Linked DNA regions of Alligator mississippiensis. The protein of the gene in region 1 purifies or fractionates together with the protein of each later gene. This does not show direct contact. Links are inferred from orthologs where the notes say so. Each region holds a gene or a part of one and is shown in the gene's direction. Other genes may lie near its edges. The genes, in order: CREBBP, SMARCB1, SMARCA4 and SREBF2.

Region 1 (7,062 bases):
CTGTTCATTCCCCCAGCTCCCCACTTGCTCTCCCAGCCCCCCCTCCCCCCCCGCCCCACTCACCAGCAGTAGCAGAGAATGAGCAGGAGGCTGGAGAGAGCACGGGAAGTCTCCAGCTTATCTCCAGGGGCTTGTCTCCAGCCTCCTGCTCGTCTCCAGCCCCCTGCTCCTTCCGCTGCTTGTCTCCAGCCTTGGGAGGGAGCAGGAGGCTGAGACTGCCCCTGGAGACATTCCCCTGATGCCTCCAGCCCCCTGCCCCCCTGAGGCTGGAGAAAAGCAGGGGAAGGAGCAGGGGGCTGGAGACAGCCACAGAAACATTCCCGTTGTCTCCAGCCTCGGGAGAGCAGGGGACAGCAGGGGAATGCCTCCAGGGCTGTCTCCAGTCCCCTGCTTGTTCCCCTGCCATCTCCAGCCTCCTGAGGTCCCCCCCCTCTCCAGCCCCCAACCCCCTGCTTACCTGGCAAAAGCTGGGTCTGGGTCCCTGCAGCTTGCACCACTGCCTGCCCAGCACAGGTAGGCAGCATGCTTCAGGAGCAGAGAAAGGGCCAATCATAGAGATGCTCTGGTACTCTGCCAGAGCGTCTCGGGAGGACTAAGCCTCCAGTTGCCTGAGGGCATGGTCCCAGACCCAGTTTTTTCCCCCGGGTTTTTGTTTGACCCCTGGATATCCAGGGGTCTCATTTTCTTGCAGCACACGGAACATTTTTTCACTCCTTCAGTGCCCCTTGCCCTGCCTCAAAGGGGTTTGAGATGGGGCAAGAGGCACATGTGCACTCGTCTGGACGCACCCAACTTGTTTGCTGGGATGAGTTTGGCTGGTGCTGTAGTGAAGTTTCATAGTTGTCATAGGCAGGAAAGACTGCTGGGCTCAGGTGACCCCAGCAAGGTGTGTGTCAAGATGCTTTTTGAAGTTCACCAGGGTTGGTGACTGTACCACCTCATGGGGGAACCTGTTCCAAACCCTCGGCACTCGACTGAAGTAGTAAGTAGTCTTCCTGGAGCTATACCCAAAGGATGTGTGAGTTACTATGACCCCACTGGTGGATCCTGTAAATCCTTATCTGAATTAGAAGTTTTGTCCTCGTCTTCTGAATCAGCAGATGTTGAGTCAGTACTGGAAAACAAATATTGCAAAAAAACCCTGACGACTGATTAAATTATTAGAGTGAACACCTTGTATTCAAGACAACTAACCACTGATGGTTAAATGGGAAAGTTTTGGGTAAAGAATTAGGCCATCATTCAATATTCACTGCTTGAACATTTTGAAAATGGCGTAAGTTGTAAGGAAGTTGAGAGCACTGTGATCCATTGTTGCTTGTGACAGACAATATGACCTGATTTCTCTCCCAGAGGCTGAATCCTCCCACACTTCTGACATAAAATGTATGTTCCCTCTTCCCAACTGGTACAAATATATGACAGTGAAATTGATACATTAAAAGAGTGTATGCAATTCATAATTTCCTCAATGTTAGATGTCCTTAATTACTGACAATTGAAGAGCAATGAATATACTGTTACCATTATGCTGCCTCCAGTTAAAATAATGGACATATGAAAATGTTTCTGGTCCCAGACTTTGGGCATTCTAGTAGTTACTGAGATCCTTGGAATTGGAGTTGTCTATTGTGAATCTTACAGGACATGATTGATTTTCTTGAGATTTGAAAGACGGAATTCAGAGCCATAACAGTGCAGCTTGGCACCAGGGGCAGTTTTAGCACACACGATAGTGCTGGACGCCATGCTGCTGGTGGTAGAGGTGCAGCCAACCACTAGCCATGTAGCTAGTTATTTCTGAATCTCTGCCCCTCTCAAAAAAAGCAGAGCCCACACCTCTGGCCCCAGGTGCCCCTGCTCCCCCCCAGGCATTTATGCTACTGATATAATTTAACAAAAAATAGTAATTATTCACTGGAATATGCATTAGTAAGGAATTATATAGCAATAGGAATAATATAGGTATTGGAACCATTAATTTAAAGGGAACTATTAAGTCGTGCTATGGCTGGCAGCCATATTAAGTAATCCCTTTAATAACTAAAGAAATTCATAAAAGTAACAAATATAATGTAGCAACTGATAAAACAGATTTTTTTTTAAATGGAAATAGATTATTACAGCTTTAAGACGCATAAAATCTAATATATCCAACTAAAGCAATGTATTAACTCATCTGTACAATCAAGAGATCTTATGTTTGTTGCCCCCATCCACCTTGTTTTCTACCACCTCCACTTTTTTTGCCTTAAAATTATATTACAAGTAGTTTGACAGAAACAGTGTTTCTGTGTGCACTTCTGCCACCATGCAGAGGCAGTGTGATGGCTCTCTGCATAGAGGCAGCAAGAATGTGTACAGGTAAATGTTTGCTGGGGAAAGTTTGGCTGGTGCTGTAGTGAAGTTTCATTGTTGTCATAGGCAGGAAAGACTGCTGGGGTCTCCCTTAGACCCTTAAGTACGCCCTGATACTGCCTGAAGGTGGGCAAGTGCTGAGCAGCTGGATGGGCAAAAACATGGGGATCTTGCATGACAGGTGTGCTGACGGGTGTTGGGGTTCTGAAAGTGTGAGAGACATTTCCAATGGCAATGTGTGGCAGGTACACGAACATATCACAGGGTCATTCAGGATTATGGAGTATCGGCATATGGAATATGGGGGAGCATGGAGGAAAGATGAGCTGGAGGTGTGGGAAGTTCTGAACCCTCTAGAGAGGCAAACTGGACGGGAACACTGTGGGGAAGCAAAAGGTGAGAAGTGTGGGTGGGCACTGTAGGATAGGAAGTAGGTATGGAGGAAGGTGCTAGGAGGTTTGGACCTATAGATAGACAGTAGAGCAGTTGCTCAATCCGTGTTACGCAGAGGCGGATGCCGGAGTGGATGATGGTGGGCATCACAGGAAGGTGGAGAGGGAGGTGTAGGCAGAGGGTATTACCGGGGGAAGGCAACAGGGTGAGCACTCTGCCTCGGGCAGCGTGTTGGAGGGGAGCAGATGTGTGACCGGTGAAGACCAACCTGTGTTCAAAGTGATCTAAGATTACAAAATTGTCCGTGTAAGTTAGTAAAATCTGCCGGGTGCTGCCACGGGCGAGGAGGCACCACCTGGAGGCAGAACGGGGGTGAGCGCTGAGGCGAGGTGGGGAGAAGGCAGCAGGGCAGGGAGGACAGGCGCTTACTGGCCGACTGGCGGGGACATGAGGTGCTCCAGGGGCAGCGGGCGGTGGGGACCACGGCGTGGCGGTGCCCGGGGGCAGAGTGCCCACAGCACGGCGGCCGTGCGAGGGGCGCAGGACCCAGGCAGGAGCCTCGGGGGCGCTGTGGCTACAGCGGCGCGCACCGGGCACCCCATATTTGCATGTCTATTTGCATACGCTTCCCCCTCCCCCGCCCACTCCGGCCGCGCTCGGCTGTTTCCGCGGCCGCTCGTGTCTTTCCGGCGATGGCGGGGGAGGGGGCGTTCCCCTGCGCGGTGACGCAGCGCGCAGGCCCCGCCCCGCCCCCGCCCCCATGGTCTCTGGAAAAGAGAAGAGAAAAAAAAACTTTTTTTTTTAATTGAGGAATCAACAGCCGCCATCTTGTCGCGGAGCCGAGCGCGGCGCGAGCGGGAGCAGGGCCGGGCCGGGCCGGGCCGGGCCAGCGAGGCGGCCCTCCGGGGCACGGGCAGCCGCACGGAGCGCCGCGGAGGCCAGGCGGGCTCGGCCAGCGGGGCAGCACCGGCCGGGGCGGGGAGCCGGGCGCCGCCGCCGGGACCGGGAGCCGCGGCCGCCGCGCTGCGCTCATTGTTTTTCTTGCCGGCGGCGGCGGCTGCTCGTGGGTGGGCGGGCGTCGGGGCGGCCGAGCGCGGAGCGGAGCCTGGGCCGCGGCCGGGGTCGGGGCCGGGGCGAGCCCGCGCGGAGGGGAGGGGACGGGCCGGGCCGGGCCGGGTCGGGCGCGGGGGGGGCGCTGTGCTCCCGGAGTGACTGACTGAGCCGCCATCCGGGCACCTCCTCGCCGCGCGAGGGCGGGGGAGCGGCCGGGAGGAGCGAGGCGGGGGGGGGAAGGGGGGGCGCTGGGCTCTCGCCACCCCGCCCCGAGCCCGAGCCCTCCTCCCTGCGGCCTGCTGCGGCGGCGGCCCGGCCCGGGCATGGGGGAGCGGGGGCCGCCGCCGGCCCGGCACTGAGCGGCGCTGTTGTTCGGCTGCTGGCGGCGCCCGACTCGGAGCGCAAGAGCTGGCGGCCCCGGCCGGCGGGCGGAGCGCGGCGGGGCTGGGGCTGTGACTGTCGAGCCGGCTGCCATGGCGGAGAACTTGCTGGACGGGCCGCCCAACGCCAAGCGACCCAAGCTCAACTCGCCGGGCTTCCCCCCCACCGACAGCACAGGTGAGCGACCGCGGAGCCGGCACCTGCGCACCGGCCTCGCAGGCGGCTCCGGGGCCGCGGGACCGGGCTGAGGCCGGACAGGACCGTCCCCCTTGGGGCTCGCCGCTGAACAAAAGCCCCCGCTTCTCTGGCAGTCGCCAGGCCCGCCCCGCCCCGCGGCTCTAAGCTAGGGGATGAGTCCGGGAGGAGCCTGACAGCCCCAGACCTGGCTGGAGAGGTGCCCCCCCCCTCCCCCCCGAGCCTGGCTGCCCCGTCCCTGCAAGCTGAGCCGGCCCTCACGGAGGCCAGACTTGCCGGACCCCCATCCCCTTCTAGCGGAGCTCACTGGCGGCTGGCTCGCCTGTCCTCCAGCTGTGGCCGCTGCTCCAGGACCGGTGACGGGTTCCCCAGAGCTTGGCAGGACCTAATGGAAGTGAAAGGGATCATTCCTCCCTGCCTTTGCTTGCTTATGCCCTCAGATAAAGGTAAACTAGAGGTGCAGTTGATCAGAACTTGAGGATTTCTGTAGGGAGCTTTGGAGCCATGTCACTGCCATGGTCCAGGGATTTCTGTACTTGCTCTTGGAAGACTTAGTGGTGTCTCAGCTTGACTTGCATTTAGACAGAATTATTTGTGCCTATTCTGTGCATTTTACTACTTTGTCAAGACCACATAGTTAGCCAGGGAGCAGGAATAATATCTCCTGAGCAGTCATTATGTGGTGTAAATGTGCCTTCATCCATTGGGAAGTGCGTTTGAGAACCAGAAAGATTTCATTCACAGTAACTACTTCTGAAAGTTTTTGGCTTTGACTATATAAGTTCTTTACATTCTGGGGAAAGGAAAAAAAATGTCAAATTTCCCTGTTTAAAATTACTATTTGCTTGTTTGGTGTAAAGAATTTATGTTTTCCTATACTTACCTTTGTAACTGTTATGACCTGGTTCTTAACTGAAAAGTTGGGTCTTACAAATAGTCACCTTAGTCTGCTTTTGAGCATTTTCCTATAGAAATTTGCAGGTGTCTTATGCATGCCAGTTGTATGATGTCTTGTGTATTGAAAATGCTCACTAGTCTCAAAATACGTACACTTCAACATAGTTGAACAACATAGTTGTAGTTTTTGCAGTAATTATTTATCACAGTAGAAAATATCTTTGAAAATCATGTTAGGAAAAGGGGAATACTTTTCTATTTTGAACAGATTATTTTACAGTTTATTTTTGTAAACTTTTATGTGCATGTGTATAGTTTGAAATTTAGGGTAGTATCTGAAAAAGCAGTAACAGACCAAGAAGGCATGTTTGACACCCACAAGTCTATGAAGGCATGTGAATGTTTAGTGAAAGGGACTTTAATTAAGCCTGATGCTTTTTACACTGAAAAATTATGCTGTAAATGAAAGATTAGGTGTACTGCTATTTCAGCTTATTTACTATCTGTATTTGACTATGTAGTAGATACTTTTGCCATTCTTCTTTCATATAATGTGTAGCAAAGGGAGGAAATGCTTGAAAGATTATAAATGATTCTAGCTTTTTCTGCAAATAACTGGATATCATGTTGAAGAAGAGTGACATATAGTGAATTTCTATATTCACAAGAGTGAATATAGAAATTATAAAATGAACTGTGGAACCAAAGAAAAAAGGAAATCGTTTATCCTAATTTCTCATATAGTTGTTATAGCGTGTAATCCTGGCTGGTAAAATAACAACTTGAAACACTGACTTCTGAAGTTAATAGTTTCTCTTTAGAATTGGGACACACTAAGTTATGTCCCAATTCTGCAAACACTTAAGCCTGTGAGTAGCCTCAGAGAACTCCTTGACAGCAGTGGTGTGAAATGTTTGTAGAGTTGAGGGCCTTGGTCCCTCAACAGTGATGATGTCCGAAAAGTCGTTTTTCTCACATGTACCTTTATAGTGTCTGGTCAGCATCTAAAAATATTCATAGCGTAATACTTCTGAAAAGTTTGAATAGCATTGGTTTTATTGTATCCTTGGTATATTGAAAGGTTTTTATTCCATCTATCTTTGAGTTATCTTTTTAATACTATTTGAAAGGTGAATGAATGTTTCCACATGAGATAACAGGTTGTTAAAAAAAAAAAAAAAAAAAAAAAAGGTGTTCATTATAATGTTTTACTCAAATTCTGACCCTAAAATGAGCTCTTGCCTGTTGTTTTAGTAATAGAACCTTGTGTTGCAACCTGGAAAGTTGCCTTTGATCACAGTTGTTTGGACAAATAGGTTTGAGCCATGTGCTCTTAAAAGCAATAGGCTGTGTAATGTGTAACACTCAATTGTATTTAGTGGCATACTTTAGCTGTTTGCTGCGTCCTTTTGTGAGAGATTAAAATTGATTCAGGTGTAAGTAATGTAAAGCTCAATTGTGCCGTTCTGTTACTAAAGATTAAGTTTGCATTCCTGCAAGTGCTTATATACCTGCTTAATTTTAGTGTTCTGAATGGTCTTAACTGCACAGGTGGACCTGAATGTTTAATGTGCATGCTGTTGTTTAATTTTTTTCTGTTCCTAGTTCATATGATGGTCTGTGTAGCAGTTGGATGGAAGGGCCCCCCTTTTTAGAGTAAATATTTAAGTATCTTAATTTTTATGGTAGAAGTAGTTGATTAATGTTAAAAGCAGTGAAATACAGTTACTCCATCTACATTACAGTGATTATAATAAGAACTGCTTGAGGCAAATAGTCTAGCAT
Region 2 (7,678 bases), on another chromosome or scaffold:
TATCATCACACTAGCTGGGATAATGCAGTGGGTACTAAATGCCTCTCAGCACACACAGAGCAAAATCCTAACCATGCTCCTTTGAGCAGCCTGCCCACAATAGCCACTTTAGAACAATAACCAGCAGCCAAGTCTTCACCAACTGGAAGGGGAGAGAGAAGCTTATTTTCATGTTACACAGATTCATCACTTGGGACTCTGACCCCATTGGGGTTGGCACCATGTGACAGTGTGGACAGAAAGTACTGGAGACTGAAGTAGTCCCTTAATTCTCAAAAGAGGCAAAGGAAAGGCAGCAGGTAGGCAAGTTCTCTCCACATCACCCCTTGACACAACCACAGCCTTTTGTAGGGGTGAGATGAGTGTTTCTTATCCCTGTCCCTTTGATGCCCAGCATCCCAATCACTATCAGCAAAGGGGCCTGTGGTGGTGGTGGCAGTGGTTTCCCTGCCATGGACAGCTTTCCCTCAACTGGGCTGACATGCTGGCACATCCCACTGCACAGACATTAGACAGGACATTCCCTTCAATCATGCCTGCCCTTACATGTTCTTCCTTTTTCTCCTCATCAGGCCCTCAGTACTGGATTTATGATGGTGAGAGACGTGTCTCTGGCCCTGCACCTATTACGGAGCTAGGCCTTTCTACTTCTCCCGTCCAGGCAGCCTTGATGTGGGGGACTGAAAAGAACAAGATTTACTTCTTCAAGGGAGGCAATTATTGGCGCTTCAACCCTAGCGCCCGCCAGGTGGACAACGTCTACCCCCGCACAATGGCTGACTGGCGTGGCATCCCTCAGGAGATTGATGCTGCTTTCCAGGATGAGACTGGTGAGTACAGAAAGGAGGAGACACATATCCCTGCATGTGTGTTCTCACCTAGTCCTGCCTCTTCAGTGGGAAGGGAATCAGCAGGATTTGGAGTGTAAGGATCATGTGTAAATTAGCATTCATAAAAGAAACACATGAATGCACACATATGAACACTATGTATACTGAGCGTGAAATCAGTGTCCAGTGTGTATGTGACTGATGCATTTGTAATAAACTTTGCAGACGACCAAGTAATTAAGCATCTGTAGCCTCCTGGATATTAGCATCCTTTGGGAGAAAATGCAAGGAGAACCATGTAGACATATTTTGTTGGTTAGAGAGACTCTAAATCAATACTGCCCTCCATTCTCTTAGTCACGTGAGTTTATATGACTTAGTTTATATAAGCTGTATATGCACTGATCAATGCTTGTATTAATCAGTAATCTAACGAGGTTACAGACTAACACAAGGAAAACTTCCACACTGTACACACTCCACAAAGAAAAAATGCATACCAGCATTATGAACAGCACTTCCTTTGCTTTGGAGGATGCTCAGAATAGCAGAGAAGTACTGTCATTATCATCTGGTTCCCCACACTGGGGTTCTTTGCTAAAAAATGGCAGAGCAATGCCACACCCTTTATCCAGAAATATGTTGGGAGCACTTGACAAGAGATGCATTAACCCTAACATCTTTTCCTTCCAAGGGAGTCCTTCATAATCAGCATTATGCCTGAACTCTCAGTAGTGGCTTGAATCTCAAGGGAAGGGCATCTCTCAGTGGTAACAGATTCCCATCACCACCATCCTACACCTACTTGCATATCGAGTAAAGGTCTAATTCTGAGCCCTTATCTCCCACTCAGGCTGTATTTCTCTCCTCACCTCCCTCCCCTATTGGTACCACACTTAAAAAAGGCAGCCTGATTTGCTAACCTAGTGAAGCAAAACAATGGGAAGAACATTTCTGGGTGACACGACTGACATGCACAGCTTTCTGCTCACCCTCCTTTGCTGTTTAGTGTTCTGGCCTTTGGTGTGGCTCTTCATCCTCTGAAAAAAACGAAGGGTCTTGTCAGTAGTATATATTCTGTCTCCTTTGACACTTCACCACTCTATTTCCACAGGTTTTGCCTATTTCCTGAGAGGCCGACATTACTGGAAGTTCGACCCAGTTCAGGTGAAAGTGCTAGAGGGTTACCCACGCCAGATCAGCCAGGACTTCTTCAGCTGTACACCTTCCTCCAACTCCTTCCGATGAAGAAAGGGGTGCTAATGGCCCCAGATTCTTCTCCTGCCTTCACACATCACCACCAGTCACCTCAAGAGATGTCCCACACTCTGACAAAGAAACCCCACTCCTGTCGTGCTCATCACTTAACACCATAGGTGGCACAAGTGGCTTGAGGCAGCTGTTAGTCTAAGGTGGAAACCTTAGATTCCAGGAGTTTGTACTCACAGCTTGGTATAGACATTAAAGATGACTGCAGCCTTGATGACTACCAGCTGCCTGCATTAAGGGTCGAGTGGCTGCTCTAACAGTTTTTTGGCACTGACATCCTAAAGACAAGAAGCCAACTTGGAATGGGGTCTGCTTCCATAATTATCTGGACACCATCCACTTAGAAAAGGGATTCCACTGGTATTTCTTTTGTTTACATTGTGTACAGCGGGGCTTCGCTTACTGATGTTTGCATTGGTGAGAACAGATTCCATCAATAATCCTTTCCTTAGCCTTGGCTGGGAGTTTTAACAGTCAGTTGACTATGTGTTGAGAAATTCAGATATGTGCCCATGTTGCCAGGGTTACTTCAACAGGACGGGGTGGGCTCCTGAATTTCAGCATCTTGTTCCACGTCTAGTGATACTTCTGTTTTTGTATTGCATTTTAAGTATGTATTTTCATTTTATATGGATTTGTGAAAATACTACATACTTTTTTAAGAAAAAAAAAAAGATGCTAGGTTTCAGTGCTGGACGCTGCCTTGTATCTCCATGTATTGTTACTAACTCTGGGAGTCTCAGTAGGACACTAGATCACCACACGACCTGCGGAGGGTCTGAAACTTCACCACCAATTTCAGAACTGCACTTGGCCAATGTCCAGGTCTCGGTTCAGCTCTTTGTTCTCTCCCTATCACTGCAAATCATTGTGCAAACGATGATTATTTTGTTCTTTTTTGTTCCTCCCCCTTTCTACCTCTCTCATCCATGCCATTCCTAGCCCTCGCCCCATCTCTCCAGTTCATTCCAGTTGCATCTGCTTCCCAATCTCATCATTTCTGATGCTTGGTACGGATCTAAAAAAGAAATCAACAAAACAAACTTTTGCTGGTTGTTACAGTCCCAGGTAGCATGACGACATCCCATTACTGCTCTTCCCAACTGTCCTGGGAAGGGTAGTCCAGAGGGGGTTGAGACCTACTCAGTTATCCTTTCCATGTATCAGCTTTCCTTCAGAGCTAGTCAGCAGAGACAAGTGGGATTTAAACCTACCCACAGCAAATAAGGGATGTGGCTACATGGCCTGTACCACCCCTAGCCTGCATGGTCTGCCTAAGCACTACAAATTTACCTCATTCATTTTTCAGGTCAAGGTTTTTGTCTTCTCAGTACCCATTTCTACAGCCGTTCTTCTTCTGTATGTAAATGTTTGTAAAATGTGTATAAACCCTTTTTATATATACTGTGTATATATTTATATGCTGTGCTGTATCAATGAACGTGATCTCTTTTCTATGCTCTGCCTGGTCTGAGTCTCTCAACATCAACAACAGCTTTAAAACCGGTCCCAACTCGAGACCTCGTCTTAGGCAGTGACGGAGCTGGAAACGCAAGTGGTATTTTTGTAACCAGGTCTCAACATGCTCAGTTGACCCAGTTTCATCAAATGCAGCAGTTGTGGCTACCAATTATCCTCACCTAATAATATATATCACTGCAGTAGTGTTTAGAGGCCTTTGATCAGGATGTAGGCAGGAAACTATGGCCTTGTGCTGAAGAAAAAAGTGAAGGAAAACTATAGCAAACACTGAGGACAGGCAAAGCCTGAGGAGCCCCTGCAGAGCTGCTAGTAATTGCTCGTTGCCAGCAGATCCAGGGAGATAATTATTCCCCTCTACTCAGCACGGGGAGGCCACATCTGGAGGACTGTGTCCAGTTTTGCAGCCCCCCAAAGGGATGTGGACAAATTGGAGAGTCCAGCAGAAGGCAGAGGCAATGGCTGAGGGGCTGGGGACACGACACACCAGGAGGCCGAGGGAACTGGGCTCATTTAGTCACGGAAGAGAAGACGGAGCAAGTTTGAGGGCAGCCTTCAACCACCTGCAGGGGGGCTGCCACGAGGACGGGGCCAGACTGTCCTCAGCGGTGGCAGGTGACAGGACAAGGAGCAAGGGTCTCTAGTCGCAGCAAGCTGAGGTTGGATATTAGGAAACACTCCTGCCGAGGAGGGGGGCGAAGCCCTGGGACAGGCTGCCCGGAGACGGGTGGGATCTCCAGCCTGGGAGGCTTTTAAGGACCTGCTCGGCAAAGCTTTGGCTGGGGCGATGCCGCTGGGGACGGCCCTGCTCCGGGCAGGGGCTGCACTCGATGCGGCCCGAGCTCCCTCCAGCCCCCGGTGTCTGCGGCACCAACCAAGCGACCCCTCGGCGCTGCTGCAGCCCCCGCTGCCGGCTGGCGCCAGACGAGCCAGGCAAACGCCGCGTGCAGCGGGACTCGGCCTGGGAAAGCCGGCGGGGACCGACGGCACCAGCCTGGGGGGACGAGTGCTGCCAAGCGCACAGCGCGCCCCGCCCCGCCCCGCCCCGCCCACCCGGCGGGCCCGAGGGGGCGGGGCGGCGCGTGCGCACTGAGAGCGCGGAGCAGGCCGCAGTCTACCCAGCCCAGCTCGAGCCGCTGCCGCGTCCCGTCCCGTCCCCGCCGCCACGATGATGATGATGGCGCTCAGCAAGACGTTTGGGCAGAAGCCCGTCAAGTTCCAGCTGGAGGAGGACGGCGAGTTCTACATGATCGGCTCCGAGGTACCGCCGCGCCGGGCCGGGCTGGGCCGCGCCGGGAAGCGCCCTGCGGTGGGGGGGAGACGGGCTGTGAGCGCCCCGGCACCGCCTGGACACCCCCGATTGGGGCAGGAGGTCATGATGGGCGCGCGCACACACACACTGAGTGGGGCAGGGGGTCACAATGGGCGCGCGCACACACACACACACACACACCCCAGTTTGGGGCAAGGGATCACGGTGGGGGCACACACATGCGTGCACACACACTGATTGGGGTAGGGAGTCACGATGATGGGTACACACACACACGCCCCCCGTTTGGGGCAGGGGATCACAATGGGTGCGCGCGTGCACACACACACACACCCCTCAATTGGGGCAGGGGGTCACGATGGGCACGCACACACACACACACACACACCCCCTGATTGGGGCAGGGGATCACGATGGGCGTGCGCATGCGCACACACACACACCCCCCTCGATTGGGGCAGGGGGTCACGATGGGCACAGACACACACACACCCTGATTGGGGCAGGGGGTCACGATGGGCGCACGCATGTGCACACACACACACACACCCCTCGATTGGGGCAGGGGGTCACGATGGGCGCACACACACACACACCCTGATTGGGGCAGGGGATCACGATGGGCGCGCGCGTGCACACACACACGCACACCCCTCAATTGGGGCAGGGGGTCACGATGGGCACACACACACTGATTGGGGCAGGGGGTCACGATGGGCACACACACACACACACACACACACACCCTGATTGGGGCAGGGGGTCACGATGGGTGCACACACGCACCCCCCGTTTGGGGCAGGGGTCATGTTGCTCACACACACTCTCTTGTACACAAACACTTTGGCCCCTGACCGACCAACCCCTGAGTGAGGATAGATGAGGGGGGAGACTCCCCATGACAGCGCCTGGTCTCCGGGCACTCCGAGCCATCAGCAGCCCCTGCTGGGCCTGGCAGACAGGCCGCCAGCCCCACGGGGCTCAGGGCCTGATGAACAAGGCTGGATGGGGGTGAAAGAGCTGCCCCTCCCCCCCCCACACCAACCACCACCATTTGGGGGGGGGGGAAGGGCCTCGTTTGGCTCGCGGTGCCCCCCAGACCGAACCTCCACGCTCTGGGCTCTAGGTGGGGAACTACCTGCGCATGTTCCGGGGCTCCCTGTACAAGCGGTACCCCTCGCTGTGGAGGCGGCTGGCCACTGTGGAAGAGAGGAAGAAAATCGTCGCATCTTCTCACGGTAAGGCCCCGAGCATCTCGTCCTAACACCTCATGCACAAAAGGAGTGTCTGGGAATGGGACCGGGCAAAAACCATCTAATCACCCCCCACCCCTGAGGGAGCTCTCGTTGAATGCCAGGAGACTAAGGCTTTTCTGACTTTTCTCAGGTGAATTTCATTTGCTGTAGCAAGCATCTAATCTAGTCTGCTTGCTCGCTGCTCCTGTGATAACAGGGCAGGAGGGTCATGGTGCTTGTTCGAAAAAAAAAAAAAAATATCCCTCTGATTTGTCTCCTCTCTGGGATCTCTCCATGTGAGATGGGAAGATCAGTGTGAATGGTCGCAGCTTCTAGAGCTGTTGTAATGCGAGAACTGCACCAATAGGAACAAAGCAAAGTCAAAATTTTGTTGTCTCAGGAGTTTGTTTCCTTGTTTCTCTCATGAAGGAGAACAAGCTACTTGAGTTTTTTGGGTTTTTTGGAAAAAAGAAACATAACCTTATAGAAACAACAGGCCTGGAGCATAACAGGCTTCTGTCTCCTTCCTCTGAGTTTCCTGCTGACTTGTCGCTTTCTGTTTTTTTTCCAATAGAGTCACAGCGGTCTCACAGTCCCAGAAGATGTAAGTCTTATCAGCCTATGTTATTCTTAGCTTTGCTGGACAACGAATCCCTGTTCTGACCCTTACTGCTGTACAAGCATATTCGCCTCTTCTGGGTCATTGGACTCGTTTGCCCTCTACTTTGGCTCTTGCTGCCTTGAAGAAGGATGTATTTTTCTTAGTGGTTGTACCGACTGTGTTTGTTCACAAACTTATGTGTGGGTTTTGTGGGCTGTCTCCAGATATGAGGGGGGCTGCCAACCAGTCTCCCAGTTCTCGTTTTTACCTGGTTTTTACAGGCACTTGTCCTGTCTGCAGTGGAGTCTAGCTTTGACTAATGCTTTTGATTAGTGTGTGCAACAAGGGCACACTGCTGACTCGTATTCAGCTTATTGTCCACTGTAACCCCCAGGTCCTTTTCTGCAGAGCTGCTGCCCAGGCAGTCAGCCCCCAGCCTATGCTGGTGCATGGGATTGTTCTGAACTCTGTTCTGCATTTAGCTTTCTGTCTCCTTTCTAGCCCGCCCTCCAGGCCTCATTAGTTTCTAGGATGTCTCTGTCCTGCAGTGGGAGCAATCAAGCACCTCATTAAAGGATGCTACATGAGCATCAGGTCTTAAGTCCATGATGGCACTTGTGGATTTATGGTACAGGAGTAAAGCTAGGTGTCAGCTCATTTTCCTGTCTGTAGTCATTTTATGTTCAAAAGAAGGAACAAAGAGAGTGGTCTTTAACTTGTTGCTGAGGTGTGGTCCCAGGTAAGCAGATTAAGAAGATTTTTTTTATATATCTACAGTGGGAACTCCAGGATAAAAGACATTTTCATCTGATGCACGTTAGATTTAATATTTAATGAGGACTTGGACATTTCCAGTCATTTTCTTGCAGGAATATTAAGGTTTGTTATTAAATAGCTCAAGATATTCCTTTTGTCCTTACAAAAAGTGGTGCTTGATTCTCTAATAATAGGCCTTAGCCTTCTGCTCTAGAAGCACTGGGTTCATAGCTGA
Region 3 (7,902 bases), on another chromosome or scaffold:
TAGCATTGCACTAGGAATTAAAATTCAACTGGCTATGTACCCTGAACCCTAACTTTTTTCCTGAGTCACTGTTTTCCAGGATATATTCTCCTGGAGTATAATTTTAACCTTTGTTCATTGTTCTTAAATGTATGACCTTGGCTGTGTTAAAATACTTAAGACTCAAATGGTCTAAGTTGGTTTGTGTAACTGACCAATCATTACTTATTATGCTTGTATCATCTCCAAATTTTCTATTTGCTTCTGAATGGGTGATAAAAGATACCAAATGTCATTTGGGTAAAGAAGAGATCCCTGCAGGACCCCACTTGAAATAGCCTTAACAGACAATGACTTCCCATTTACAATTATATTTTACAATCTTTCAGTTAAGTAGTTTTCGATCCATTTAAGTATAGTCTGATTTTTGTATACTACCAATTTTTTTAAAAGTCAGAATGTCATGCAGGACTAAGTCAAATGCCTTATGGAAGTCTAAGTAGATTATGTCAGCACAGTTACCTTTATCAACCGAACTTGTGATCTCATCAAAAACAATAATAGGTTTGACAAACCCTATTTTCCATATAACCAATGTTCACTGGCATTAATTATGCTGCCATCTTTTAATTCTGTATGGATTGCATAGTCTCAGCTTTTCTATGATTTTACCTGGAATCAGTGTCAGAATAAATGGCCTGTAATTTCCTGTGTCCAACCTATAACCCTTTTTAGAATATTTGTATTGTGTTAGTTTAGAATTAATAATGTTGTGGGGAAGGATAGCGCACACATTTGATAACAGAATTGAGGGCTCAGTAAATCCTAGAAAATACATTACTTCCTTGTAGAGGCAGGATCACAGTACAGGAGTTTATGAGGCCCTGTATTCCAGTATCATATGTGCTATATATGTATATATATGTGTGTGTATGTGTGTGTGTGTATATATATATATGGATTGTTGTGCTTGAGACGTATGGATTGTTGGGGGGGAGCTGTTATATAGTGCTAGGGTGTTTAGATCTATAAGAGAATGGTTTTTTGGTTATATAAAAACTGAATATTTATGTACCAAGAAACCATGTGAAAAACAGACCGAAAGAGTCACTATGACCAGAATAAAGACAGGAAGTTATGGATTACACACCTAGGGAACAAGCACAGCCCAGAAAATCAAATATTTAGTCCACCCACCAAAAACAAATCCTCAGTGAAATCACCCTGTCCCATTCACACACTACACCTTCCCTTTGCTTTCGATTAGAATGTGCCACTGGACAGCAGAAAGTAACTGAGACTCAGGACCATTTTTTTTTTTTTTTTGGTGTATCTTCAGCTCTCCCAACAAGTAGCAGTTTGGTCAGTGGAATTAGTGCCTCAGTTTACACACCTGTAAAATGGAGATTGCCAACCTAAGCATTTTGAAGATGTAAAGCTACATAAGGGCTTACTGTGATGTATTAATGCTGTTTTGCTCCTGTGAAAGGCGACTGTAATTTATATGCATTCAGACTACATAGTGGTCATGAAAGGCAAAGGAGGGGGAAAAATCAATAGGCAATAAACATGTTGGGCTGACTCTCCCTTCACATAAATTTCATACCAACAGCAGCTCTCTGGCACCAGCAACTAGCATTCTTAAAGACATCTGAGGAAATGCAAATCTTCCACCTCAAGAGTCAGCAGTTGATTTATGCTCATTTAATAAGGGTAGGATTTTCAGATTTTTCTATTTTTTTTTTAATCTGGAGCAAGCACTGATGTTCTCTTTGTAAAAAGAGGGGGGGGGGAACAATATTACGCGACAGCAGAATCAATAGTCTTCCTCACTGCAGTGAAAATTAATTTTTGAGGGGGAAAAAAAAAGAAGAGAATAAGGCATTCTGGGCATGTTTTTCTGTAAAGCTCAATTTATAACGTGCATGTTAATTGAAGCTTAATATCAGTGCTTCTCCAAGAATGAACTTGGTGAGGAAAGATTTGAATAACTCAATGCCAGCATGTCTGCAACCTCTTAAGCTTTTTCATGCTAGCTGAAATGATCAGGTTATTGGCTTCTGTCAGGCTCGGCTTTAAGGAAGACAACTTTTAAACTAATTGGCATAGAATAAATAATGTAATTTCATGTTTATATAGGCATTCTTTATATCTAGCGCCTGTCATTCAAGGAGGATTCCAGCAGGCGTTCAGATGGGAACACTACATCCACTGCAGAAACGTGGCCCCCTGTGGGATTGAAAGGAAAGCAGTTCCCGTTCTAATTATTCGGCTTTTCAGTGGTGCTGGGAACTTCTGAAAATGGATAGACAAATTGAACAGACACTTCCCAGGGAGGGTCTGGGAAAAATGCTTCCACTGGAAATGCTGGTGAGGGGTTTTTTTTAATGGAAATTACAGTACCATCTGGGTTCATTTTAGCTACAATACAAACTTGAGCTCATCTTAACCGTTCTTTGTATGTTTCTACAGGACAAATTGAAGGGGCCTGGCACAAGGGAGTTATAAGTCTGGCATATAACCACATTTCAAGCCCCTTGAGAGAGAGAGAGAGAAGGATGTAGAGAAAGGAAACAAAAAGAAGAAACCTCAGAAAACCAGAATCAGCAGCTGGTGAGAGACGTCCAGTTACATATGTCCCCTTCCCAAATAATTCTCCTTTACAATATTTTGTCTGATTTCTCCTTTTATACTGGCTTTTTTCCTTCTCTCAAGGCCTCCCTTTCTCGTCTGCCTAGTTAGATCACTGCAGTGTTTCTTCTTTAATTTTCTTTCTGTTCTCTCCTTTTTCCAGCTGGCTTACCCTAAACACAGCAATGGGATGTGAGTAGTAGGAAAAGATGCACATACTCATTCCAGGGACTGTATCTGATCAGGCCACTATCCAGAATTAGCCCATGAGCTGCAGCAAAGCTATGGTCTTAGCTGTGTCCTCCCCTGCTACAGTCTGCCCCCCCCATTTCCCAGTCCTTATGCCATGACTAGAAAGGGGTTCTATTTATCCCCTCCCCACCTGTTAACCATCCTTCTGAAGCATCCAAGAACTCCAGAACCAGATTACATTCCAGAAGCCTTTGCTGTGGAAAGAACTAAGTGTTTCCCTCCCATCCTTAAGCAAAAACCGAGCTGATTTCTAACCTAGGCACCAAATCTTCATGATTTAGAACTATTTTTATTAAGCCTTGAAGATGAGAGAAAATTAGGAAAGCAGATTAGAAAAAATATGAATTATTTCCAACTGAATCCCACCTCCCAAAGAACCCTGCTTTCTTTAGTTAGCTACAGGGATACTTTGTCCATTTGCTGCCTTCTGCATTGATCAGTTAGCAGATTCCAGTTGGTGTAGACTACAATACTATGGACTAGGCTGGGAATAAGAGACGTGTCAGTGACTGGTTTTTTTTCCTATTTGAAGGATAAATAAAGTAGAGCATGTGCGTCTAGAGCTTTGTGGGAGGAAAACTGTGGCTGTTTTTGGGTGGGATCCAAAAGGTTGCAGCTTGAAGTCAGGTGGTGACACTCCTGGGAAATACATTCACAAGCATGTGAGAACCTCAAGTAACTATTCCACATGTGCATACATCATCCTCCTGCCCTGAACCTTGTGGGCCTTGGCTGGAACCGGCAATGTGAGCTAATGCCTTTGGCAATCCCTGACCCTATCTGCTCTCACAAGTCAAACAGTGTCATGGTGAGTCAATGGAGTGCTTTTCCTGTTGAATCAATGCCCAAATGTGGTGCGAGGGGGTGTTGTCTTGCAGCAGAGATTATCTTTCAGCCAAGGCTGAAAACCCCCAACAAACTTAGAAGCTAGTCACCACACAGTGGCACTTCTTGTTAAGGGCTGGTTTATTAAGATGCCCTAACTTGCTCTGCCATTTCAATTAGGTGCAGAGCTGTGTCCCATCCTTCACTCTAATTTATGTAGCATTTTTCCACGCTGTTAAACAAGTGGTAGTTCTACCCAAAGGTGGAAGTTGTCCCTGGGTATCCCTTACCTGCCTCTCAGAAGAGCCAAGATGCTTAATTAGCACATGTTCATCAAGCCTTTTGGGAAGGCCAGGATTACCTAGGCACATCAGCACCATCCCCTTCGGGCTGCCAGGGCAATGTAGGGCAGCCCTGTCTCAAACAATGGGCTTTCTCCTGAGACTAGACCAAGCTGCAGCCTGGTGCCTCTCAGCCTGGGACCCCGCCTAGGTGAGAGGGTTGGCAGAGAAGCCGTTAGCCCTGGATGGCTGTGGGGTGTCAAGAGAATAAGCCCCCAGTCTCTGGCTCTCCAGCCCCCTCTTTCCTTTCCCCCTCATAGTACTCCCCTTTCACCCCTTCCTCTCCCTTCTTCCCACTCCGTTTTTCTCCCAGTCGCCCCTCCCCCACCCCTTTCTCCCTCAGCCACCAGCCCCTTCTCCAACACTCCCCTCCCCCTCCCCTTCGCCGCAGTGGCGCTAGCATTAAGCATGCGCGGCGACAGCAGTTTTTCCCTCCTCCCCCAGCGGAACAGGGGGGAAGGGCATTCGCTCCGCCCTAGAGGAGCGAGCCCGGCTCGAAGCCGGCCTGACACCGCCCCCCCCACCCCCATTGGCTGGAGCTGCATGGGGTCAGCGCGAAGCGGAAGGGAGCGAAGGGAGGTGGGAGAGAGTGGCAGCCCCCGCAGCGCACCCCGATTGGCCGCCGAGCCACGAGGGGGAGGGTCCGCTGCCCCCGATTGGTGGAGGTGCGGCGGGGGGCGAAAAAAAAGCTCGGTCAAAGGAGAGCGAAAATGTTGTCTTCGCCCTCCTGATTGGCTCGGTTCTCCCCCGCCCCCTGGGCGCACGCGACTGCTGCCGGCCGGCTGGCAAAGAGGCCCCTCCCATTAGCCGAGGCGGGGGCGCGCGCGCGCGGCGCTGGTCGAGGACGCGCTGCGGCGGGAGCGCGCGCAGAGGAGGGGGGAGGGGGAACGCGTGCGCGCGCGCCTCCCTCGCACACGGCGGCGGTGGCTCCTTTGTTCCCCCCCGGCACGAGCCCGCGCGCTGCCCCCGTTGCCCCGGCAGGGATGCACCGTGCGAGCGGCTCCTGCGGCGCCGGGCGCGGTAAGGCCCGTGGGCGGGGGGGCCGCGGCGGGGGGCGGGGGCCGCGGAGCCGGCCCCCCCCATGGAATGGGACCGGGCCAGGCACTGAGGGGGGCTACGGTGGCCCGGGCGGGTCAAGACACCTCGGCGCGCGCGACAGGAGCGGCCGGGACCATTGTTCGCCGGGCGGGGGGGGGGCATCGCCGCAGCGTCGCCTCACGCGGGCTCGGCCCCCGCCCCTCCTCCCTCGGGGCCCTATCCTCGCGGGCACGTGCCGCCTCGTCCCGGGAGGGGTCTCCTGCCCCCCATTGAGAGCTCAGACCCTGTCAGCATCTCTTCCCCTCCTTGTCACAGCCCGTGGGGGGGATCCCCGTGTCTGTGCAGCCCCCTTCCCCCCCTCCGTCCCCCCCCCGACTGCCCTGGTAGCATCAGTCCTTGTGCCCGCGTGGGGGGCTTCGTGGCTCCCCAGGCTCTATGGGGCTCAGGCCTCTTTTCCCTATTGGGGGTTCAGACTGTCCTGACCAGACAGAGGCATCTCTTTCCCCTTCACACTGTGTCGGGGTCTTCCTTCCCCCCGAGGGGATCCCCCCACACCCCTATCAGGGGGTTTTCTGGCCCCTCCCCAGGCATCCCAACTTCCTTGCAGGTGCCTGGCACTCTGCACCCCCCCCCCCCCAGCCCCTCCCTCCCTTCTGCACCATTGCTGCCCTGTCCCCTCCTGGGGGCTTTGCAACCTTTTCCCCCCTCCTTGCACTTACAGGGCTCAGTCTCCATCCTGCCACCACTGCATGATCCACTGTGGGATCCCCTCCCATGCACCTCATAGGGAGACTTTGCTTGCTTCTTCCTTGGCATTTCCATTTCCTTCTCCCCCCAGATCCCCTCTCTCTGCCCCCCCCAGTCCTTCTTCCCTAGCAGTATCTGCTCTTGGGGCCTTTGGTAACCCTCTCTGCCCTCGTAGGGCTCAGAGCCCTCCCTCCTTCATCAGCATCTCTGTCTTTCCCACCTCACACCCTATAGGGGCCCTCTCCCCCTCCATGCCTCACTGAATGATCTCCCTCCTCTTTCACCCCATGGGGGGCTCTGCTTGCCTCTCCCTTGGCATCTCCCATCTTCTTCCCTCCGCCCAGATCCCCTGGGTCTCTGCATACAGCACCCCAACACAGCTCCTCCCTGCTTCTGCCCCCCTCCCAGCAGCATCTGCCTCTGTCAATCTTGAAGACTTTGCTGTCTCCCTCCCCAGCCCTTGTGGGGCTCATTCCCCTTCCCCAGATCCCTCCCCACCATTGAGGGTTCAGACCACCCCACCTCGTCTAGCACCATCTCTCACCCTCTCATACCCTACAGGGTGGGGGAGTCTCTCCTCCCTCATACCCCATGGAGGGGCAGCTCAGCTCATCCCCTCCTTTTGGCATCCTCATCCCTTCCCCCCCCCCCAGCACACTGACCTGTGGCCCCCACTTATTAGTGGGATTCTTCTCCATCCTTCCCAGAATACCAGTGTGTTCCCCCTCAACAATATCTTCTTCATCCTTCCCCCAAGGGAGCTGCCCTTTTAAGATCCCCCCCCCCTTGAAGTACCTACCTTCTTCCTGCTCTTCAGCATCACCATCTGCCCCCCATCCCCTCCAAGGGAACTGCTCCTTTGTCAACATCTTTTCCCCATCCTAGGTGAGTGGGCTTTCCCATCAGCATCTCTACCCTCATCCCCTTCTGTCCTCCCCCAGCATAACAGAGGACCTTCCTGGGTTTAGCATCACCACCAGCCCTAGGGGGGTTCTGCCCCCATTCAGCCTTTCCCCATCTCATTTCTGGGAGACTACCCTGACAATGAGCACCTCCCCATAGTCATCACTTTCCCCCACCCAACCCTTGTGTTTGCACTGGTCCCTTACTCCTCCTGTTCCCTGGGGAATGGGTGACATGAGGGTCACCATTGAGGCCAGGCCCCTAACTCGCAGCCCTTTTTGCATTCAGTTTCTACCAGTAAAAATAATGCCAAAGCCTGCGGAAGAAACCCATGGGAGCCAAGTCAGTTCACCTCTGCTCTTGGAGGGACCAGGAACCCCTTCCTCCAAGCTGTTGCCCATTGCCCAGGCTTGCTATCTCGTGGGGGAGGGTGCTCCCCTACATGCACATATATGTGCACCCATGCACACACAGGCACACAAAGCCCATTCTCGTGTTGGGGGAGGGGGCTGAGAAGAACACCATTCACAGTAGCAGCTGCACAGACTAGGCACAGAAACACATGCGACCCCACACACAAAGCCCATTGTCACACAGTCATCCCCCCTTCCTCCCACCTCATCTGCATGAATTTGGGGCTGCAGGTTTACAGTGCATCTTCTCCCAGGGTTCAGTTAAAACAAAAAAACAAAAAACCCTCCCCCCCACTTTTAATGATATGCACAAAGCACATTTGAATGCAAATTAATTTCCTTCTTCAGCAGGACCAACTATTACAAATCAATTGACAATTGACAGGATGCTCCCTGTTCCCTGGTGCCCTGATATCAGGAGTGGATTTTAACTGTCTTCCCTTCATCTCCTGCTTCAGCGTGGGTTGCTCTTCCTTCTTGGTTAGGCTGCCACTAACAATGTAGTCTATTGTTTTAAAGCAGGGTCTTTGTTGTTGTTTGTGGCGCTTGTCTTTAACTGTCCTTGTAAATTAATTGAATAATATGCTTTTTTTTCAAGGCATATACCTCAGGACAGCTCATGGAAGGAGGTGCCTCTCAATTGAACATTTACAAAATGCCCTTGGCTTTCCAGATACTACAATTTTCTATGTAAAACTGTGGAAAATCTTGACCCAAATATTACAGTGTTAAAATCTTTGAGATCTCTGACTGCATGTAATAAATAATACCAT
Region 4 (7,231 bases), on another chromosome or scaffold:
AGAAAATCACAGATTTCTCCTTTAACAGAGAAAAATGTAGGAGTTCTAGCCTGCAGTGGGCTGCTGTGGGGAGTAGGAGCCACCACAGTGAGGTGCAGCAGCGGTAGCAGCATGGAGTTGTGCCCCGACTGCTGCCAGGTGGGCAGGGGGCACCTCAACTTTGTGGCCATGGCAGCATTCCTTCTTGTGCCGTGTACTGCTTCTGATGAGCCACGGAGGCAGCTCCTGCCCCAGAACTTGTCCAGCTCAGCTGCAGTCTGGTGCCCCGTTGTGGGCACAGAAATCTTGGGGGGCACATGCCCCCAAGCCCCCATGTCACTTGTGCCCCTCCCACCCCCCACGCATCACCTGTGCCCACACATGCCCTTTCCCACACTGGGGGGCTGGGAGAGGGGGGCTGTAGTTTAGGAGTGAGGGACACAAGCAGGTCCAAGGGGGTATGGGTTGGGAGTGAGAGGCACTGGCAAGGCCAGGATGCTGTGGGTTGGGAGTGAGGAGAATCAGCAGGGCTGGGAGAACTGTGGCTTGGGAGTGAAGAGCAACAGGATGGGTGGGAGGAAGTCACCGACATATTGGGGCTGCTCGGCACCACAAAGCAGCATGGGGGAACAGCCACAGCTGGACCCGTGTCCTGATAAGCAAAGTGGGTAGGGGGAGCTTTGATTTTTCTATTATTTTCTATGATAAAAAAATATCAAACGCCAAAGTATATAGGTATTTAGAATTTATTTTATTATGACGATTGAGGTACTAGTAGGCTTCTAAATTGCTTTAAAATTGCAAATATATCAATAAAACATTGTGTTCAACTTTATTTTATATATATATATATATATATATAAAAATAATAAAATAATAATAAAAAATAATTATATATATAAATAAAATATAGTGGTGTTTCATTTTAATCATGGGAAAATGCAGATTTTGGGGGTTTTAATCAGAAAATTTGGAATTTTTTATCAGAGACTTTGGATTTTTTAAACAGAGAAAACCAGGATCCCTGCACATTACAAATGAAGCTATGGCCTCTGAAAACTGTCAGATCTAACATTACTTGTCACAAAAGTAAAGGTTCTAGCCCCAGTGTTATGGCCAAATTTGTATTGGGTAGTTACAGTCTTTACTTCAGGTCTTCAACCGTTGTGTATAATTGCTGTCAAATGTCTTCTCCACCTCACTTTTGAGACATCTGTATTTCAGAATAGTTAACGTTTTATTCATATAGAGCTATAGGTTAATGCCACACTTCACTCATGGAGCAGTGTTTTCTTCCCTGCAGCACTATAATACTATGTTAAGCACAAAAGACAGGGGAACGATTGAGGGCTGGGACAGGTTGCGGATTAGTCATCAGAGGAGGAAAGATGGCTGTCAGAAGTGATGTGAAGAAGAATTGCGTGGCAGGTGAGGACAGGGAGATGGGCTGAAGAAAGGGCTGGTCGAGTGGGTGGGAAGGGAGGAGGAAGAAGGAGAAGAGAAGGGACTGGGTAGAGTGTAGAGCATTTGAGGACAGTGAAGGGAAAGCAACAGCAGAGGTGTAGGTGGGGGATTATGTAAAGGCTTGCAAATGAATGAGAGCTTGAATCTGGTGTGGAGGCAGGAAGCCAATACAACAATTTGGAGAGGTGACTACAGTATAGGGAGAGAGGCTGAAGGTTGTGATAATAAAGGCAATATCAAACAAAGGTTTTGGTAGTGGGGCTTGAAAGGAAATAATGGATTTTGTGACATTAAAAAGGAAGAAGAAACAAAGACGTGGGAAGAGAAGACAGAGGAGAAAAGATCAGAGCACCAAGACTGTATATTGCTGGACTCCCTACCAAAAGAGCCTCAGAAAAGAAAGTGGTTAGAGAAGAAGAACGATTAATTAGGGGAAAAGACACATGGCAGAAGGGAACAAAAGTTGCCTGGCCAGCTAAATAGGAGAGCTAGAAGGGTGGAGCAGTTTGCCATACAAAGGCTGCACTGAGGTAAGAGAGGAAGGCCAGGGGTCCCTAACTATCCAGAGAACATGTACATTTGGCAAACTGTATGGCTTGAAATGACACGACAGGATTATATTTGAAATGCAGCCTGGCCAGGGGAGCTGCAGGTTGCTGGTTAAACCATAACTAGAGAGATGGTTTTGTTAACTTTTCCCAAGTGTAACTCCACAGCAGTACGGCCAGTTTGGACATTTTCAAATTGTGAGTCGGGCCCTCCCCAAATCAGGGAGACTGGCTTTAAAATCACAAGAATTGGAAATTGCCCAATAGTTTGTGTTCTGTATGGTGTGTGTTTATGTTTGCCATTGAGTCTTTGAACCTTTAGGAACACTCGGGGCACTTTGTAAAGGTATTTTTCTACAACCACGGAGGGCAAGAAATAAGGTGCAAGTAACACATCATTTATTGTGAAACTTGCAATGAAATCAAGAAATCCTCAAACTCTAGTCCCTGCATGTCAAAAAGGATATAGAGGAACTAGAGAAGGTACAGAGAAAGGCAACAAGGATGATTAGTGGAATGGAGGCTCTTCCATAGGAGGAGAGATTAAAGAGGCCAGGCCTATTCAGATTAGAAGAGAGATGCATGAGGCGGAACATAAATGTTTACAAAATACTAAATGGTGAACAGAAAGTAAACAGGGATTTGTTATTTACTCTCTCCCAGAATACAAGAAGTAGGGATCACAAAATGAAACCAGGAGGCAATCAGTTTAAAACTAACAAAAGGAAGTTCTTTTTCACGCAGGGTGTTGTGAGAGTATGGAACTCCTTGCCTGCCTGATGGTTTAGCCAGGTTCAAAAAGGGATGGGATGCATTCTTAGAGGAAAGGGGCATCAGTTGCTATTGAGCACAGAAGTGAGGGGCACGGCCTCTGAATCAGACGTTGTCCCTTCATGGGCTTGATTGGGCAGGTGGACCCAGTTCAGCCCCTGGGGCATGCGTGGCAGGTCCCCATCCGGTTGTGCGGAGGGGAATGGGAGAGCAGCCTGGCTCCCAGCCAGCTGTGTAGGGAAAGTGGGGGGGGGGGGGGATGGCCTGTTTCCAAACTGGTGGAGCAGGTGAAAGGGGTGTGGCAAACAGCTTGGGGGGGCAGGGGGCATGGCCCAACCTTGAACCAGCCATTAAAGGGGAGAGGGCATGGCTTGCCCCATGGAAGGAAGCAGGCATAGCCCAGCTCCAACCTGGCTGGGCAGATGGAAGGAGGCATGGCCCAGCACCATGTGGGGAGAACAGCAGGTCAAGGCTCTGAGCCCTCGCAAGGGCCTTGGCCTTTTGACAGCAGGGAGGGCGGCAGCCTGACCTGCCCCTGTGCCCCTGCTCCAACTTTCCTGCCCTGCAGGGACCCGGGCAACCTGCTTTCCAAGGCTCTGTGTGCTGCATTTGGCCCACAGGCCAGAGGCTGAGCACCCTGGGCCTAGAGTCTAGACCCTGAATGCTGGAGGCTGTGAGTGAGAGGAGCAGTGCGGAAAACCCTGGCAGCACCCAGTTCCCTCCTCCTTTGTGCACCCCCTCCCTGCCGTGTGACACTGGCCCCGGGGCCCAAGGGGCAGAGCCTGGAAACGGTCATTCTTGTGTTCTTGGGGCTGCAGGGGGCTGCTCCCTCTGGGCTCTGCCTGCACCGGCAAGCCCTGGGGCACCTAATGCCTGCTCAGGCCTTGGTGTTTCCAGGGCCCAGGGGCCCGAAGGCCCCTTTGCTGCGCTCAGCTGAGCTGCAGGGCCTGGCCCCACCGGCAGGGAGTGCTTGTGTCCTGTGCCCGGAGGTGGGAATTGTGGGAAGGCCCTGGAGGACTGGCAGCGTGCAGGGCTCAGCCAGGCTCCTGGCACCTCGCTCTAGCCCTGCCAGCACCTGAGCTCTCCTGGTGCTGCCACTGCACTGCACTGCCCTGCCCTGCCCTGCCCTGCCCTGCCCTGCCCTGCCCCGCCCCGCCCCGCCCCGCCCCGCCCTGCAGCCCCCCCTCCTGCGTTCTGCCCCTTTAAATTCTCCTTCGCGCTGGTGAATAATTAGCAAGGCGGCCCCGCCCCCTCATGAATATTCCACATGGAGAGGAGGAGAGAAAAGGAGGTGGAGGGGCGGGGCTATGTATGCAAATCAAAGCTGCTGATCGCCGACGCGCCATCACACCACGAGCCGGCGCGGCCGCTGGTTGGTCGGAGGGGCCCTGGTCTCATTGACAACGCGCCGCGGGAGCGCTGCCGCGTTGGTGGGGGTAGGGGTAGGGGCTGCCCGGCGGGGGGGCGGGGCCGGCCCAAGATGGCGGCGGAGCCTGCGGGAGCTCGGAGCAGGGACTGAGCGGCGGGACGGTTGATGCCCGGGGTGAGCGGTCGGGGCGGGCCCGCGCGCGGTGGCGGCCATGGAGAGTGGCGAGCTGGGCATGGAGACCATGGAGACCCTCACGGAGCTGGGCGACGAGCTCACCCTGGGCGACATCGACGGTGAGCGCGGGGGTCACGCGTGGGGCGCGGGCTGCGCGCGGTTATGCGTGGGGCGGCGGCACGCGTGGGGGGCACGTGCCCGCAGCCTGGCCCTGGGGCGCGCGTGGGGCCGCCCTGGGTGAGGGCCCGCGCGTGGGGGGCCGCCCTGTCGCGGGTTCGGTGCGGTGGGCCTGGTGGGCACAGGGTGTCTTCGTGTGCCCCCAGGCTTGGCCTTCGCACACAGGTGGGGTTGGCTGGGCCAGACCCTTCTCCTGCCTCGCGTGGGCTGGGTGGAGGGTACTGGGTGGGCGCAGGGTGTCGGGGCCCTACTGCCTTCCTCTGCCTGGGGCTTGGCTGTCCCATGCAGGTGGGGTTTGCTGGGCGAGACTCACCTGCGTGGGCACCATGGGGCTTCCTGCTAGGCAGAAGTCACCCCCGGGGCTCTGCCACTCCTGGCCCACATCCGCCAGGCAGGGTTGCGTGTCTACGCTGTGCCTGCCATGGGTGTGCTTCTCGCACAGACTGTTGCATCCCAGAAGCCTTTATTTCTGTTGGCATCCCCGATTGAAAGGTGTGTGCTGCCTTCCTGTGTCCCCGGCTGCTGTGCAAGGGAGTGCCCCTGAGAGCAGGATCTCCATCAGCTTCCACCATGCTTTTTTTCTTTTTCTTTCTTGCTTTTTGAGAGTTTGCCATATGGATGTTTCTGGCTAACAGCGGATGCTCGCAAGGGATGGGGCAGTCGTCAACAACTCTCTGGTTTCATCATAGCCATTGCTTTCTTGGGGGGCCCTTTTGTGGGATTGACACTGGGAATAAGTGCAGTGTGAATGTGTGTGTGTAGGGTACGGGAATAGTAGTGTCCTTTCAGACATCTGGGTTTGGGGCACCTGCTTTTGTCCTGGCAGCAGTAAACACTGTGCTGCTTATTCTCATTGCCCAGATTCCTACTTCTTTCCTACTAATAACTTGAAGTGTCACGGCCTATAAATAGCTGGTTTTAGCATCAAAGAAATTGGAAAGGATGCAGGCAAGTTAAGTTGCATCTTCCCCTTAGTTCTAGCCTGTCTGAAGTCAGCAGTAAGTTGCTTGAAATGTACTCCCTCGTGCCTTTCCAAGCCCCTGTATAAATGACTCAGACATCTGGGCTTTCACTGATTTCTATGAGCAGGTATTCCATAGAATCCTAAATATGCCTTACCAAAAGGAGACGTTTCCCAGATGCTTTATTCCCCCCCCCCCCCCCCCCCCCCTTTGCTCAGTTTCTTTCTGTTGTTCCCTGGTAGTGAACACCTGATCTGGACTGAATATAAATGCTGGCCTGCAGAAGAAACAGGAGACTTGCTAACATGGCCTGCTGTTGTACAAGTGCCTCTTCTGGCTTTGCTCAACAGTTGATTGTGCAGTGCACGAAGGGAGGAGCACATGTGTTTTACAGCATCCTCCCTGGTGGATCAATACAACATTGAGTCACACATTGGAGTTAAGAGTTGCTGCTAACTTGTAATGTTGCCTTAGGAAATTCTTTTGCTATTTTACAATCTGCAAAATGGGGCTAGGTGATGTTATAGCTTATTATACAAAAGGGTGCTGAAGCTTAATATTAGTAGGTTATGTTGGTGCTGCTCATTGAATATGTAAAGCATTATAGGTGGCGGTCTTTTCAGAGAATAAACAATAGGTGCTCTTTCTGTCACCTGGTGTGTAACAGCCATTTGATGTTGGTAGACCGAACCAAGAGGCAGATTTTCTGATCAGTTATTGGTCAGCAGTGTTACTAGTTGATGCAGCCAGTTTGGTATAGTTCAGAGCAACTCATCCTCGACAGAGGGAAAGGAAGCATGGGAGCATTTTGTTTGGCTCAGCCCTAAGTTACATTTTTAGATGGGGTGAAGCAAGAGCAAGGTCCGGGGCCACCCGAGGCTCCACGGCGCTGCGGTATCGTTACGTTTAGGGGGGATTCTGATTTAGAGGCATTCAGTCATAATCCCACAGATGGTAGCTTCGCCCCATTGGCTCCTCAGCCAAGCACATACACCAAATGTCTGAACCTGGTGTTTTGCAGTCCAGCATGCAAGATCCTGGTGTTTTGCAGTCCAACACGAGCTTGTCAAATAACTTTGATTTTTTTTTTTTTTAAATCTTCCTTATCTCACTGCCAGGGCAGCAGCAGCAGCAGCCCTGCCACACACTCTGCTCTTTCAGGCTAGAGTATTCTCTGCAGTCCATTCTTTACAAATGCGTGCATTTGTACAGTAGTTTACAGTAGCTTGTCAGTCTGAAACATACATGGCAAGGTAAATGATTGTGACTGTGCAGTGTCCAGGCCCTAGTGCCCAGGTGCTGAATACTCTAGGAAGTTAGTACTTTGCGAGTTCAGGTTGCAGAGTAGGACCTGGAATGAGGCCAGGGAGTGTTGTGTGAGAGCACTGATCAGTCCTACTAACTGTATAAAATGTAGGTCTGTCCATACAAAATGTCCACATGCAGCTTACTGCAGTGCTACACAGTTTAAAAAGAAAAACATTATGTTGGCTGTAAAAACGTTGCAAAAAGATGCATTTGAGATCCAGATTGTACAAGACATATCAAAAATATTTTTCCTATCCTGGAAAAGTGAATCTGGCACAGAACACATACATTTAGAGTACTTTTTTCCACCTGAATCAACCCTTTCAACTGCTTATGTCTGTTCCTTTCCCTGGTATTTCAACTCAATTTTTTCATGGCGACATTAAAAGGAAAAAAATGAGTGTACACATATTTTTTCAGCTGTCTCCTGGGGATGAAGTTAGTGTTGTCTGTTGCCCAGCATTCATCATTGTAAAGTT

Evidence for each region.
Region 2: the proteins of CREBBP (region 1) and SMARCB1 fractionate together in Homo sapiens (co-fractionation; 3 studies listed by BioGRID, with this or other methods). This does not show direct contact. The link is inferred for Alligator mississippiensis from reciprocal best matches to the Homo sapiens genes CREBBP and SMARCB1.
Region 3: the proteins of CREBBP (region 1) and SMARCA4 purify together in Homo sapiens (affinity purification with western blotting; 3 studies listed by BioGRID, with this or other methods). This does not show direct contact. The link is inferred for Alligator mississippiensis from reciprocal best matches to the Homo sapiens genes CREBBP and SMARCA4.
Region 4: the proteins of CREBBP (region 1) and SREBF2 purify together in Homo sapiens (affinity purification with western blotting; 3 studies listed by BioGRID and IntAct, with this or other methods). This does not show direct contact. The link is inferred for Alligator mississippiensis from reciprocal best matches to the Homo sapiens genes CREBBP and SREBF2.

Annotation. Positions count from the first base shown.
Region 1 is NC_081836.1:24,211,096-24,218,157, reverse strand, and holds the start of CREBBP (CREB-binding protein), read left to right. Parts: upstream 1-4,058; 5' UTR 4,059-4,277; coding exon 4,278-4,362; intron 4,363-7,062. UniProt on the Homo sapiens protein: Acetylates histones, giving a specific tag for transcriptional activation. Mediates acetylation of histone H3 at 'Lys-18' and 'Lys-27' (H3K18ac and H3K27ac, respectively).
Region 2 is NC_081833.1:18,298,670-18,306,347, forward strand, and holds the start of SMARCB1 (SWI/SNF-related matrix-associated actin-dependent regulator of chromatin subfamily B member 1), read left to right. Parts: upstream 1-4,665; 5' UTR 4,666-4,746; coding exon 4,747-4,839; intron 4,840-5,977; coding exon 5,978-6,089; intron 6,090-6,660; coding exon 6,661-6,690; intron 6,691-7,678. Other genes in the region: MMP11 (stromelysin-3), read left to right, coding at 573-830, 1,945-2,078.
Region 3 is NC_081831.1:23,547,663-23,555,564, reverse strand, and holds the start of SMARCA4 (transcription activator BRG1), read left to right. Parts: upstream 1-4,884; 5' UTR 4,885-5,048; intron 5,049-7,902. UniProt on the Homo sapiens protein: ATPase involved in transcriptional activation and repression of select genes by chromatin remodeling (alteration of DNA-nucleosome topology).
Region 4 is NC_081827.1:96,982,104-96,989,334, reverse strand, and holds the start of SREBF2 (sterol regulatory element-binding protein 2), read left to right. Parts: upstream 1-4,218; 5' UTR 4,219-4,342; coding exon 4,343-4,424; intron 4,425-7,231.